Oreochromis niloticus: one gene and its partner. The protein of the gene in region 1 interacts with the protein of each later gene in a biochemical or structural test. Links are inferred from orthologs where the notes say so. Each region holds a gene or a part of one and is shown on either strand. Other genes may lie near its edges.

Region 1 (7,851 bases):
CACTAAGACCTCAACTATGCAACTGAAACAGATAAACAATGGGGAGAAAAAAAAAATCTTTCATGTTGCTCCTCTGGCACTAGGATACATCCAACAAAATGTCCTAAGTTAACAAAAAAGAAAAAAGAAGAAAAATGTTTTAAATAAAACCATAAAAAAAGGAAACGAGAGGGAAATTACTTTTGTAAAGTTAAGCGTGAGTTACAATCACAGACAGTTGCCACTGCAACTCTCTACCAGTAGTTGTTCAGTATCTTGGGTAAGGATGCTCTCTGTACGATCCCTTTGTCTGCCTAGGTGGAGGGGCTTTGCCTCCAGCCCCGGCACTGGACCACGAGTTGTCCCAATCATCTTGAGCTACAAGAAGTCACAGAAACAACAAAAAAAAAGAAAAAAAAAGGTGCAAACACATAAGCTAAAAGTCTGAAAGCAATGAAGCAAAAATAACGAGACATCAGATTTAAAGACTTACCATAACCAGACTCATATGATGGATCCTGAGCTTCACCGTGTCCATAATCGTAATACTCTGTATCCCTGAGGGGACATCATCAACAAGGGTTAAGACAGTATACTCCCAATTAAAAACAAAACAAAAAACATTAAAAGAGTCATGTTACATAAATTAAACTTGACTTACGCAGGTGCAGAAGGCTGGCTATAATAACTATCATATCCCTCATATGCCGGCTCTGCATAAGAGTCATCATATGCAGGCTAGATAGAAAGAAAGAAAAGAGGCAACATCATGAATCTGTACCATTCCCATTCATGCCAAAAATGCTGTCAAATAGGATTCAGGACGTACATAATCATCATAAGCATCAGGCTTTGACCCTGTTGCTGAAGGTGGAACCTGGTGTTGCTGGTGAGACAAGGCTGCCGAGGGGAGCATCCTGGGAGCTCCTGCTGCAGGCGGTCTGGAGCGAGGAGCAGAGCCTCCTCTAGTAGGAGCAGAAGGAGGTCCACCCCGACCAGACGGAGCGCCTCTTGGTGCGCCACCTCGCCCCGGTGCTCCGCGTGGAGCCCCACCGCGCATCGCTCCTCGAGGAGCCCCACGTGGCATTCCTCGGCCCCTGTGGAGGGTTAAATCAATACCATTAACCTACTTTGCCAAACCAGATGCAAAAAACAGACTCCATGTTAGTGTTCCTGCAGCTTTCAACTGAAAACTAACATACATTTTAGTTTGCTGACAAACATTTGTAATTTTAAGTTTGTGTGAATCTGTCAAGACTCTAGTTGCACATCTGCAGCAAGCACATACACTCAACCCGTTAAGGCATTCTTTTCAGGCAAATGTGTTACCAGACACAACATGTATTGTAGTACACTATGTCGCAGATTCCATCGCATACCTTGGTCCTCCAGCACCAGGTGGTCCACCTCTGCCCCTTCCTAGAGGACCACCTCGCCCCCTCGAACCATCCTGGGATCCATTCAGGAACAGAGGATCCATGTATGGATCGTGCTCACCAGGTTCCTGTTCATGTGGCAACAGTCAAACATGCATACCATTATTGCAGAGCATTGAGGAATCAGTGGATATCTGTTAGAAAGTTTGATTCTTGTATCAAGAGGTGTCTCCGCACACATACCGGGATAAGGAACTTCTTCACCTCCTCCATGGCGTGAGCCATGCGGAGGTACGCTTCTGGTATGGGTGCCGTCACCTCGATGAACACATGCAGCTCCATGGCGAGGTGAGCATATTTAGCTTCACCCCCCTTTCTAAATTCTTCCTCCTAAAAACAATGAACGCACAAAACTCTATAGCCAGAGTAGTGATGCAGGGCAATGAGACAGAAGCAAAGGAAACAGCTACACAAACCTTGTTCTTGTCCCTCATGGAACCTTTACCCAGAACTGAAATCTTTGCTCCGGTGTCCTCTTGTAGCCTCTTGATCGTGCTACCCTGAGGTCCCAAAAGCTTTCCCACAAAGTTGACCTGCAACAAATTCATAATTCACGTGAGCACCTCAGAGAAAGCTCTCTTAGGTGAAAAAACCCTAATTAAGTAGAGTGTGAGAAATCAGTACAATTGCTAATCTGTTAGATCAGCTGATTGAATCACCTAGGTGGTTAAGGCTCTATGTAAATGGAAAAGACATACCCTAGGGTACTGCTTGGTGGGAATGAGGACACGCTCCTTGAGCTTCAGATTCTTGGTTGCAAACAGGTCCAGGTAGGTTTCCTTCTCAGGCTCTTTCTTAGTTTCACCTTTCTGGATCCTCTCAATCTCTGCAGGAATTAAACACGATTAAAAAGCTGGTATTCATGAACAAATGCATTTCAAATAATAGACGAAAGCTTTCGGTTTGTTTTTTTTCGGGGGGGTTTTGTTAGATGATATGGGATATGATCCCCTGCATCATCCGAAGAATAAACGGCAGGTTAAGCTTTGGTTGTAGTTAGCAAAGCGCCGCCTCGAAATCGCAGCAGTTCGTCGTTAAATATCGGTGTTAGCTGATGACTAAACAAGACTAAAATCGCATGAGATCCAGTGATTCAATTGCACAGCTTCAAATACACACTGGACAACGACCCGACCCACATCGCTATCAACCACGTGCTTAATGCGCCATTGTTCAGGCCTCTGACTCGGCTAAGGGGCAAGAAACAAAAAACAGGCCCCGACTCGCGCTAACTAGCCCGTGTTAGCCTTTACGTTAAAGCAAATAGCGAGATTACCTGCAGATATGAGTTTCATTGCATGCGTGAACGATGAATCCAGGCTGTCCTTTTCAGCCAGGAGCTCCGGGAGGTACTTAGTGTCTTCCATTTTGATCTTATTCTCTGCTGGGCTTGACTCTACGGCAGGCTCTGTGTTGCTCTTATTAGCATTCGCTTGGCTCATAACGCGCGAACGAAGCCCCGCTCAGTTCGTTAAGCTTCTCCCCCTTAAAACGAAAATGCAACAACAAGGAAGACGGTGTAGTTAGCAAAGGGCCCACCGGCGTCTTCTCCACTGCAAGTCGTTGCACTCTTCCTCAGCAGACAAAGGAGGGATGGCGCAGCTGCATTTCAGTGAGGGGGAGGAGGGAACCCGGAAGAAGACAGTGACGTCACTGTCATACGCTCCAGAGCCCTGATTACCTGCTGTTACAGCACTGTGCCAAAGTCAGAGCAAACCTTGTTTTATGTCTGCTTTTTCATCCATTTCAGGGGATTTCTTTTAAGGTACTTTACCCAAACTTATGATCCATTCATTGTAATTTTATCTTTAGGCTCTTTCTTAATAGCAGCCTGTTGCAAAAACACATAATTTGTCGCCATTTCTTTAATTGATTGTATGGAAAATTCCAAAGAAACCAGGGTTGACAGGGATAAAACAAGGAGCTATTACCGCAAAATCATCTCAGCACGGTGTGGAGCGTGCTCCACTTTCCTCAAAAACCTTGAGGAAAATAGAGGACAAAAAAAAAGGTAGTAGGCCTAAACAGCCATCTACAGCAGATGAATGGTATATGAAAGCAATGTCCTTAAGAAACAGCGGGAGGAATATAGCATAGACCTGACACAGGACCTGAGAGATGCATTTATCCCTTCAGGTGATCCATCTATAGTTCAGAGAAGCCTCAAAGCCTGGTCTCAGTGGAAGAGTGGCCATAAGAAGCCATTTCCAAGGAAGGGAAACATGGAGAAAAGGGCTGAGGTATGCCAAATTACATGAGAACTGCACAGTGGTAGAATGTTTTACTGAGTGACCATCATCAATATTTGCAGAGGAGGTCAGAAAGCATAACTACAGTGAGTGTCTATAGTCATCTGAATGCCTACAGTCATCTCTTTGTGGCTACATTGTAGCCAGTGGTTTTGCTGATGTTGGCAAAATAGTTGGAACTATGAACACAGAAAAGTATAGTCAAAATTTGATCCACCATGCAGTAATATCTGAAAAACTGACTGTGAACGGTTTCATTTTTCAGCGTGAAAATGATCGCAAACACACTGGCAATGCAGTAAAAGCATAGAAAAAAAAAAACATTACCAGTCATGGACTGGCCTCCCCAGAGCCCAGACCTCAACATTAATGAAACAGCATCGGATGATCTTATCAGAGAACAGAACAAAAAAAAAAGCCACCCAACAACCAAAGAGCTTTGAATGTCCTTCAAGAAGCAGGAAATTGTAGCCTGATGAAATCAACCAGCACATGACACAAATGATCTTTGGGTTCTTTAATCTGAGTTTTAAAATTAGTATTCAGATAAAAATAAAGAAACTTGAATAATAAATTAGTTCAGACAGTTCTCACAAGCAGACAGCAAACAGCACTACACACCATTTACCCACATCTACAATAGTCTGGATTATGATATAATTTATTGTAAAATGTCACAACAAAGTTTTGAAATTCAATACATACAAACTGTGTAGTGCATCGCTCCAGAACATGATCAAAACAGACCACACAGTTTTTCAAAGGCCAGCTCCATTTACAAACAATGCTCAAACAATATCCCACAATTCTGAAATGAATGAGCTTGTACTTCCTGAAAACATCTCTGCATATAAACCTCAAACCATATATCTGAAACTATTTCATGTTATTTCCAAGAACAAGTCTTTAATGCAAGTTAAATTAATTGCAGTATGACACTAAACTGTAAACCCAAAAGTCAAAGCTGCTCAAAAATAAAACGAAATAAATAAAAATATCTGTTTATTTACTCATTCACTTACTTGAGTTGATGAACTTGAATATTTGTAAATTTATCTGTCATAGGAATGATTTTACACAGTTTACTTTTTTAGTGTTCCTTTCACTCTGTTTTTCTTTTTCTCTTTAAAAAAAAAAATAAAATTCTCATTTATTCTTCCACATAATACATCACCAAATTTAATGTTCTTTCTCAGTTATCTGAAGCACTACAGTATACAACATCCCGTTTTAACACTATATTCTGTTTTATTCTGTTTTACCTGGTATGTGTATTTAGTCAATGACCAAAACATTTCTCTTATACATAGAATACTGCTGCCTGTACTTTCAGTTATTCATACAGGCAGCTTCCTGGTATTATACCGCTTTGTCTGAGATATCTATTGAAAACAAGCTTTGGATGTTTCTTAGAAAAGCTTTGTTCAGTTACTCTCTGGAAATAAGACACAAGCCCAGACATGAATATCCTGCTGTCTAATGCAGGGAAGTGTTTTGTAGAATACACTCATCTTACATTTGATGTTTCACTGCGCAGCCTTTGCTTTGATCATTCTGGTCAGGTCCTATTTCATTCTTCTGACAGCCTCTCAGCTAAAAAGTCCAGCCAGGATTAGTAGATGTGGCTTAATAGGAAGTTTAATGTGATAAGTCAAGCACTACAAATCTCCTAATGCATTTTCAAATACCAGTGATTTTAAAATAGATGTGTAAAAATGGAGTTGAGTTTGCATAATGAACAGCTTAAAATCAGTAATTGTGTTATGATGTACACTCATGTACATTTAATGCAGCTCATATTTGTATCAACAGGTTTAAACAGTTCAAAAGTGTACATTTCAAATCTTTTGCTGTGTTGAACTCAAAATAAGTTGTGCACATTTTTTCCAATTCAGTATTCTTTGCTGAAATATGGTGATAAATGATGACCTTTTTTCACCTCTGTCCTATTGAATCACAACACCTCCATAAAATACTTAAACTGAGATTTTTAAGTTGAAAAACAGGTGACTCAATTCTGTGTCAAAGGTAAACATTTGCTTATTTATTTACAATGACATATAATGCATCAACACACCTTCAAAATGATCACAAATAAGAGTAACAATCTCCTAAAATGAAAATTTGAGCTTAAATTTGGTAATTTTGACTTCAGGTACACAGTTGAAATTCAGTGTATTCCCTCCGAATAATTGATATCTCCACAAGTCTTATTTAAATGTAAGGCTAATTTTAAAATTCTTTTTTAAATTTAAATAAAGAGTTTATCTTACATGCCCCAAAAAAGACTGTACTAGCCAAAAAATCAGTGCATTGAATTAAAAGGCCACTTAAACTTCCCACTTTTATTGAACCAGTGAGTGTGAGCTTCTTCTCAAAGTCATATCAAATATCAATGATGGCAAATATTTCTGGTTTTTCTTTATCATGGATTTGCATTGCTGAATATGTGATGGCTTTCACCTCAGTTCCCTAGAAGGACAACAAATGACATCTAAGTTACTGCAGTTGCGTTGTAGTTTTGTAGAGTTAATTATTCATTTTATGTATTTCTTCTAATGAGTGTCATTTTACTTCTTTCTCTGGCTTACCTGTGGGTGCTTTTCCAGAGAAAATTCTTCACCCCACCTTTCATAAACCAAAGAAAAATAGAGCAAAGAAAGTAGCAGTAAAGAGAAAAATACAGAGAGACAGTAAAACTGAATTTTCTATCTCTGATAAACTATTTTTTCCCCAAACCCAACCCGTTTAAACCCAGTGATCTTTTTGTATATTGGAAAAATATGGAACATTTTAAAATTACAAACAGACACCAAAGGACTTTGAACTTTTTTGCACGTCCTTTTCATGATAATCTGAGATAGTTCAACAAAATGAATGAGATAAAGTTTGACCTTTGCCTTAAAAACAAATTACAAAGTTGGTCCACATTAGCTCAGGTTTGAATTGTATGTAATAATTTTTTAAAATAATTATTAAGACACAACTTCAGTGTTATTGAGGAGGACCCCAAACTTACCCAATGGAGCGAATCTTGAAACGCATTCTGTCAATATGTAAAACTTTGATCTCCTGATGGAAAGATATGACACAATTGTTAGCACATCATAAATGTAGCAACTTCATAACTGGAACATAAATAAGGAACAGCAGGCAAAGTTACTTGCAGCCTATAATATTTAGAGACTGATTATATTTTTAAAAAAAAGATAATATTACCAGTTGTTTTGGGTAAGTTCACCACCACACTGGATTTAAAACTAAATAATACAAGATCTGATTTAAGTGCAGATTTTCAGCTTTAATGTTAAGGAATTTTAAGTACAACATTAGGAATTACAGATATTTTTATACACAGTCTTCCATTGTCAGAGGCTCAAATGTAATTGGATAAACTAAAACAAAATTAAATTGCTGCTTGTTTGTAGCATGCTCAATCGGTTACTGATGTGGCCACTGAAGAATATCCCATTTCTTTTTCCTTAAAGACCTCTCCATTTGCACTGTGAAGCGCAGAATCTGACTGAGTCTGAGCAGAGTGTACGGCCCTGTACACTCAGAATTCATCCTGCTGCTTCTATCAGCAGCCACACCACCAGTACTAACAAGAGGCCCAGTTGAACTGGCAGTCCTACATGCTCATGCCATAACATTGCCTCAACTATGTTTGACAGATGATGTGGCATCTGTGTGATCATGAGCTGTTTCAGTCTGTCTCCTTACTTTTGTAGGCAGGCTCTTTGTTTTTTGTTTTTTAATGTTCTAATCTGATGTCTTTGTTGCTGAGTGTAACCAGTGGTTTCCCCTTTGCTGTAAATCCTCTGTTTCCATTCATGAACTTGTCTTTTGATTGCAGACCTTGACAACGGCACGCTTACCTCCTCGACAGTGTTCTTGAATTGTCTGTGTGTTGTGAAGTGGTTTTTCTTAACAGTAAAGATTTCCTCAATCATCAACTTTAGTTGTCTTCTGTGGTCTTTCAAGGCTTTTGATGTTGCTGAGTTGGCCAGATGATTCATTCATTATTTTACAGAATGCACCACATTGTTGATTTGACCACTTACTAAAGTTTTTTTCCATTTCCTTTTTAGGTTTTTTTTTATTTTATTTTTTTTCCAGACTACGATGGCTTCCTTCACATGCATCGACCACTCTTTGGACCTCACATTGAGAGCTCCGGTAAAAAG
Region 2 (7,891 bases), on another chromosome or scaffold:
AGACGGAAGATGGAGAAATGGCAGTTGCAGATGAGCGAATGTAAGGACCAAGAAATTCGACAAAATCTTCTTTTATGACAAAAACCCGGATCCGTGCAACAGTAGGAACTATTTAAGGAACAAAAAGGTAAGGCGTTCACCGATAATATGTTTTTCTCTCTCTACACTAAGTTGGCGCTGTAATGGCTCACATAGGAGCTTGTCAAAATTCAGGTATCAAAATATACATTTAACTAGATTTCAACGAGATTGAATGACATGAAAAAATGTGGCATTTAAGATAGTCTACCAAATAATTATCGGTTTGAAAACACGTTCTTATCAAATTGTTTCGTACATCGGTGGAAAATAAATCGCTTTAATTGGTTTGGCCGGCTAAAAATATAATGTTAAGTAATGAATGTCCTGTAGGTGTTAGAAAGCATTGTTTATGCTTTAGGCTTTTTAAGCCTTTTTACCTTATATACGTGTGACTTGTGTTAATTATCAGTAATGAAGTTATATTCATCTATATTTCAAAAAGGAGGAGCAAGAGGAGGAGGAGAGACGGCAAACAAGAGTACCTATCTGCCCCCTTGTGGTTGTGATGTGCGGTGTATTGCCCAAATGAATGCTGCAGTAACAATAAATTTTAGAGTTAAAAAAAACAAAACATCAGAGGCACTACTTTATACTCATCGTATATATATATATAGGCTTTACACTTGGAAAATGATATTTTATAATTAATATTAATAATCAGTAACTGGCTATTGAAGCTAAATCCTTGTGCTGTATAAAACAAAATAGAAATGGTTCAAACTCTTCCCCTCCATTTAACCCTTTCACACACTCCTACATAGCTACAGGATTTGCTTATTTATGGTGTGCAGTTCCATTCAGCTCATAAGTGGCCCACATTCATATATCATCCCCTGGTGGATCCCTGTTATGTAATTTCATCCCCATCAGACTGCATCAGCCTCACAATGTTTGCTGCTTGGCTTATATGAGCTCACACGGGATATACACAGCCTATATACACAGAGGCAATAACACGAATGTAAATCTTGGAAGGGTAAAAGGTAACAGGGATGAGGTAATGTGAGAGATTTTTTTTGTGTCAGCACATGTGTATTTTGGATGCGTGTGAGTGCGGGGGTTTGGATACTGAGAGATAAATTATGTAAACCTCTAAACTAAGTCCAGATACTTGACTGCACTTTGGTTGCTGTTACACTGTAATGGATTTCACTTCATTTTTCAGATTGCCCCATTTGACGCCCATACAACATGGATATATCTTCATCTTCGCTTCAGTACGGATCAAAAAAGCGGGTCAAGATTCACCCCAACACAGTGACGGTGAAATATGCCACTCACTTCCCTCAGCCTGGAGATGAGGGCTATGATGATGCACCCTCTTTTGAGGACTTTGGCGCCTTCGCTGAAGCCAGTGTGGGGAAGAGACTGGTGTCAGATAGCAAAGGTGGCAGGACTTTCTTTGGAACCATGGAAACCCAACCTAAGCAGCCAAGTGTGCAAAGAGACAAGGGTGTTGAGGGGCAGCTGGCCAGCTTTGGCGAGGCGAATGTGTTGGCCTCCAGGGTAACCTGGATGGCATTGTTTGGGGCAGCAGTGGCTCATGGCTGTGTGGCATTGATTACTCGTTTAGCAGCTGACCGTTCTAAAGTTCCTTCTCTTGAGCTACTATTCATCCGCTCCGTGATCCAAGTGCTGTCCATCCTGGTGGTCTTCTACTACCACGAAGCCCCCTTTGGCCCCAAGGGCTATCGACTGCGTCTCTTCTTTTACGGTGTCTGCAACGTAATCTCAATCACCTGCGCTTACACATCCTTTGCCATAGTACCACCTAGCAATGGCACTATCATGTGGCGTGCCTCCACCACAGTCTTCAGTGCAATTCTAGCCTTCCTGCTGCTGGATGAGAGGCTGGGCTATACCGATGTGGTCACAGTGGTAGGAAGCGTGTTTGGCTTGTGCCTGGTTATGGTACCAAATGTAGCAGATGAGGAGAAGTCCAGGCTGGGGTTTTGGAAGGAGGCCTTTGGCTACACAATGACAGTGATGGCCGGCATGACTGCTGCCCTCTCCATGATCGTCTACAGGGCCATTAAGGAGCGGGTCAGCATGTGGACCGCACTCTTTACCTTCGGCTGGACGGGCACAGTTTGGGGTGCCTCCACCATGTTTATCATGCAGGAGCCCATCATTCCTCTGGATGCGGAGACCTGGGGCTATTTAATTGGGATTTGTATCTGCTCCACTGTGGCATTTCTCGGAGTCTACTATGCTCTAAATAAGTTTCATCCAGCCTTAGTGAGCACTGTGCAGCATCTGGAGATTGTGGTTGCCATGTTTCTCCAGCTCATCGTTCTGAGGATGATCCCCTCTGTCTATGACGTCATCGGGGGCCTAGTCATCATGATTAGTGTGTTTACTCTGACGGGAGTCAAGCTGTACAGGGTGAGCAGAGCCATTCGGCAGGATTACCAAGAGATCCTGGACTCACCCATCAAATGAATTTAGATGTCAGTCTAATTGTTTACAATGTTGCTTGGTTGTACAATTCAAAGAATGTCTGGGTCGTCATCTGATGATTTTGTATTGTTGTGTTGTCAAATGAGTGCCAGTTGTGTAACTAATAAAAAAAATGGTGTCTTAATATTTGTGTGGGAAATAATAAAAAAAAAAAAGGCAGATATAACATGGTGACCACTTTGCCCCAGTAGTATTGCTTTAATGTCTAATCAGTTGTGTGACTGGCCAAAATGTTGGGCATGAAAATGATCTGTTTGATTTGTGTGCTTTACCACGCTCAAAGATTTGAAATCAAATTGACCACGTGGGATCTGGTCTTGTGAATGTCAATGTAAAATCAGCAAAGATGTATCTCTGTAAATGTCAGCCCAGAGATGGGTCACGCTACATAAAAGGAATAAAATAAGAACTTTAAAAACAGCCCAACCTTTTATAAAAAACAAAAACAAAAAAACAACTGCTATTTATTTGTGTGGCTCCTAAGCTGTTGCTTTCCAAGACAGTATCATTTCTTCAAAGAAACAATTACAGATGAGCCAGCAAAGCTACAAAGTACAATATAATGTCCTTTATGTGATAGGCTGCAGGCTGTGGCATTATGTGAGATTGTTCTTATTAAATCTAAATTGAACATCACAAACAGACTCCAAATTTACTGGAGATCAAATGTGACTTTGAAAAATAAAAGATCTTGTCTATAATTCCTTATATTTTGTGCACAAACTGTTGTTTTGTTGTTCCTGTTCCCTATCACGTATGCTCTGGCCCCATCGCCTAGTTGATATTTAACACTGGCGATTATAACCCTGGATTCTGCTTCTGTTTACTGTCAGATGCATATCAAACTAATGCCCAGAGGCAGGTGCACTGTATTGAATTAGAGTCGCCTTTTGACAGCGTGAGACCATCTGCTTTTTCTGTAGTGGGTGATTCAGTGTCTCACCAGTGACGTCTCCTTTCTCTGTTGAGAAAAACCAAGCGAACTTGAACTCTACGTTTCCCCAAGGCAAAGCATCAGCGATGGAATGAAATAAGGACAAAATGAGGATGCAGAGTGGATGAAAAGAGGGGATGATGCTTGCTCACAGCTGACACAAACGCATGATTCACTGATAGCCCAGCAGGTGGCATTCAGGATCCGCTTCATTTCTTAGACTGCTAGAGCTAGGAAATTATTTTACTTCAGAAAGCCAGGAAGCTAATGTTTTGCGTATGCAGTAGAAATGAAAGCATATTGATGGAGCAAATTGATCTGAAACTGTACACAGCTGATGACAATCTATTGATTAATTAACTTTTTTGCACACAAATAGGTGATAAATGTCATGGTACAAGTATTATACCCTTTTTACAGCAACAATATAAGCAGTAAATCAAATCCGTCTGTGTAATGACAATCTACTACTATTGAATAAATACAAAATGACTAAAACAACAAGCTAGATCCATTTGCAGCGAAAATGTGGACAAAATCTTTCTCAAGCTAATAAGAAAGTGACTCAAAACACATTCCACCATGCCATATTTTATTTTAATTAGTCTAATTTATATTAAAAAGTGAAGAGAAGTATTAGGTGGGGTTTATAATCCACTATACATGCAGTATTATAGTCTTGTTTTGGGTGCAGATCACAGAATACATGTAGGGCAGGCCCATCTGTTTGAGCAGGAAACAGATTGCATCCTGCAGCGAGTTGCACAGCCTTCCAAATTACTCTGCAAGTCTCTTCACCACAGACACGTTTAATAGATGTATCATCATTTCACATGTGGAGCCCGAATGGGATTGGATGACGAGTTACTTTATGTAGATTCGTTTTTGTGTATTGCACGGTTGGTGATGACTGGGCACTTCTTTGAAATGCTTATTAATCCCGAGATAACTACAGTTGTCATATACTAAAAACACGTAGGCAGCACTTAACGTAATGCTTGCTGAAGGGCAAGCTTGCACTAAATAGTATCACCTGGTTATTTTTTTTAAAATGTATTTTATTTTAGCAAGTATACTACAGAACATCAATTTTTACTAGCCTAAATTATAGTTTGGGTCTTGTGCTAAAGTCCCTCTCACTACTTATCTTTCTTTTGGATACCAAAACATTAAACAATACGTGATGCAATAGTCAGACTCACATTCCATCTCTCTTTTCATACACAAGTCTATCAATGGTAGAGATTTGATCGATTCTTTACCCTCACAGAGAAGAAAAACATGACGAATGCTTAGGGGAAAGCAAAGCACCAGCAGCTGCAGTGGGATTAACGGACAGTGTCATTGTCCAATCACAGAGTCCAGATTCTCCCTCAGCCAATCGCGTGGCAGCAGGCGGGACCCAGAGAGCGTCTGAACTGCTTGTGTAGCTGCGGCTAGTTAGCTTAGCCGTGCTGCTGAGCGATGACATGCACTGATGCAGAAATGCTATTCCAACGGGGCACGGCGTCTCGTCAGCTAGGCTAGCTTCTTGGAGTGGGGAAAAAAAAGGGGAAAAAAAACCCTGGCTGTTTAGCTAGGATTCTGGATGCCGTTTCCGTGCATCTTCAGCTGCTGTGTGTAACCCTTTAACATATTTCCAAAAGGACATAAGAAGAGGTGGCCGTCAGGAATCAGGTAAGACGTGGTATGACTAGAGCAGGGTATGAATCTGAGCTGCCGCTGATGGTGAAGCTCTGTGATACAGACTGCTGCAATAACGGTTCTCCAGCGTTAAAGCTCACGCAAGCTAACAGCTAAACGTTAACCTAGACTGAAAAAGAAAAGGAGAGAGAGACAAAAACACCTAGTGTCCTTGCCAGCATGGTCAGCATACTGTTACCCAGCTGGCAGACGGTTAGTCTGGCTGTAACCACTAAAAGCATATGGGAGAATTTTCTTAGCCAGGTTAATGTTAGCCGTTTTAGCGTGACACGCTGTCAAGCTCAGGTTATAAGGTAAAAACTCCACCAAAACTGCTACACTTCTTTATCATCTTTATACTTCTTTTCGTTCAAGCGGGCACCACGTAAACACTTCTATTTGTAAGAATGACAATTAAATGAAGCCACAGTGATATTAAACCGTTTGATCCACTTTACAGTTTATACTTAAATGCAGCTTTATTTTTTTCTTATTATATCTTAGGATTAAGTTTTCAATTGCGTACTGAGTTGAACTCGCTTGGTCGTGGTCACGATGTGGTTCACTAGTATTGGGTTTTGCTTCAAGTAGCCATAATTAGTCATAGCCGGTCCATCACTTCAATGTTCACCCAGTGATACCCAGTTGGCTTGGTATCCCTTTATTTGGACCAGTAGTGCGCAACCTAAAGGTATTCTGTCCTAGAGATTTAAAATGCAGGAGAAATCTCCACCTTGGAGAACATACAACAATGAATTATTTTTTTCTGTTTTTATCTAAACTCAATTTGTGGATAAATATCTACCTGTATAATACGTGCAAAACGCATTTGAGCTTACATATACCTAGTTGGATCGCTTAGATCTTGTTTTGGGCAAGATTTTGGGTAATTGCACACTTTGTTTATCTCGTAACATTGTTTCTACCTTACACAACCCAAGCTAGACTAAATGTCATTCTTAGAAGCACAATGGGGCAGTTCGTCTGTATAACTCCTGGCGAGCCCTTGCGGCTTTTGTTTGTGTGGCCTTTTACAAAATTTGGTGCAACACTCAACAGATTATTCCAGCTTGAGGTTTTTGTATTGCAGGTATTTATTTGATGATTTGTGGTTAATTATATCTGAGCGATTTATGGGAGTAGCCTGCACGTCTCTGCAACCAAATACTAGCGACTGGTTAAGAATTACTCTGTAATTATTGTCACAAGTTAGTTTTCAAGGAGGTGAGAGGAGGCGGAGGAGGAAGAGAGAGGCATTTGCTCTGCTGTTGCTTTCTTCTCAGTTGGAGTCACAGAGAGGGCATCCACAGCTTGCAGGAAGAAATGGTGATGCCATTCTTATCAGCATTTCGTACTTGAAGGCTTGCATTTGATTTTCATCTTAACACATGGAAACTGCAATTAGGCAAACTATTTTAAAAATTTGCACCTGTCAGCTGCCATGTCATGAGCTTCTGTGCAGAAGTGAGGACTGTTCCTTCACTCAGATATACTCCTTGTGTACTCCTGTAATAGTCATACATCCCACACTATAATGGTGCTCTTGTTTGGATTTTATGACAGAATAATCTTATGTGTATGAAGGCGTTATCCTTTTTTTGTTTGGCTATGCCCTTTCCTCTTTTCCGAGTGTCCGGCTACCAGTGGCCTCCAGCAGCCAAATCTGTCCTCGCAGCCCAGGGTAAAATACCAACTGCGCTTTTCTCAATGGCTAAAATTTCCCTCAGAGCTCAGAAGCTAGTTTATAAAGTCACTTTTCTTTCTTTCTGTTTTTTTTTTTTTTTTTTTTTGGTTTTTTTTTTTTTTTTGGGCTTCTTATGAAGTTGAGAAATGGGGAATTTTTTTTTCTTTTTTCCGCAATTGCCTCTTTGCATGTTATCGCCCTAATCTCTGTTATTGCATACATTCTCTTCCATTTCCTCTTTCTTTTTTTTCTTTTTTTTTGTGCCCGACTGCTCATGCATGCAGATGTTTGAAGAGTAAATAACAGACGTTTTCTGTATACATTAACTGTGACAGAACATGACGGAGCAACAGCTTCTGCTTGGTGTGCCCTGGCAAAGGGCAAAAAAGGCGAGTAATGAGCAAAACACTGAAACCAAAAAAAGGGGGGAAAAAGGAGAAATTTCAGCTTAACTACTAAAGCAAAGTCGTAAGGAAGTGCCCAGTTATTGTTTCTTGTTTGGACTAAGTTTTCCAACTTTTGTAAAAGTGTACTGTCCCGGCTGTATTTGCTGTTTTGTTTTTTTTTTTCTATTTTTTTTTCTTTTTTGGGGAGTAAATGATTTGACTTCCTCGTGTCGAGTAGGAGAAGTGTGCAGTTTCAGTGTTTTTTCTCTTGGTCCATTATGGTTCAGGGTTTTCTTTCAGTGGGTTTGGCAAAGTGATAATGAGGATGTGTGTACTCATGCAACTACGACTCATTGTTGTGACAGCAGTTGTGTAGCACTGAATTACAAAAAAAAGCAATACTGTCATAATGAAAGAACTGTGCGTGTCTTTAATGATGAAAGCAGGCTTTTCAGGCACAAGCGTTTGGCAATTTCTGTGAATTTGTTAAACCAATAGTAAGTCCTGTCCACAGACCTGCATCAGTCTGCTACAGTACTCTCAGAAAGAGCAAGAAAATGATGGTTCATGGGTGATTTCTACACCCCCTGTTTTTCTTGTCATTTTCTTTTTGAACATGTTATGCAAAAAACAGTTAGACCTTCATATAGCTCAGATTTTTTC

Evidence for each region. The genes of interacting proteins can lie anywhere in the genome.
Region 2: the proteins of khdrbs1a (region 1) and nck1b form a complex in vitro, tested with the Homo sapiens proteins (3 studies listed by BioGRID, with this or other methods). The link is inferred for Oreochromis niloticus from reciprocal best matches to the Homo sapiens genes KHDRBS1 and NCK1.

The regions. Positions count from the first base shown.
Region 1 is NC_031983.2:8,562,960-8,570,810, reverse strand, and holds the start of khdrbs1a (KH domain-containing, RNA-binding, signal transduction-associated protein 1a), read right to left. Parts: upstream 3,020-7,851; 5' UTR 2,858-3,019; coding exon 2,692-2,857; intron 2,242-2,691; coding exon 2,114-2,241; intron 1,949-2,113; coding exon 1,832-1,948; intron 1,746-1,831; coding exon 1,599-1,745; intron 1,484-1,598; coding exon 1,359-1,483; intron 1,077-1,358; coding exon 809-1,076; intron 718-808; coding exon 641-717; intron 538-640; coding exon 473-537; intron 358-472; coding exon 248-357; 3' UTR 1-247. Other genes in the region: zbtb8os (protein archease), read right to left, coding at 6,050-6,136, 6,256-6,292, 6,684-6,736. UniProt on the Homo sapiens protein: Recruited and tyrosine phosphorylated by several receptor systems, for example the T-cell, leptin and insulin receptors. Once phosphorylated, functions as an adapter protein in signal transduction cascades by binding to SH2 and SH3 domain-containing proteins.
Region 2 is NC_031974.2:17,862,363-17,870,253, reverse strand, and holds the start of nck1b (cytoplasmic protein NCK1), read left to right. Parts: upstream 1-4,879; 5' UTR 4,880-5,152; intron 5,153-7,891. Other genes in the region: slc35g2b (solute carrier family 35 member G2b), read left to right, coding at 1,273-2,523. UniProt on the Homo sapiens protein: Adapter protein which associates with tyrosine-phosphorylated growth factor receptors, such as KDR and PDGFRB, or their cellular substrates. Maintains low levels of EIF2S1 phosphorylation by promoting its dephosphorylation by PP1.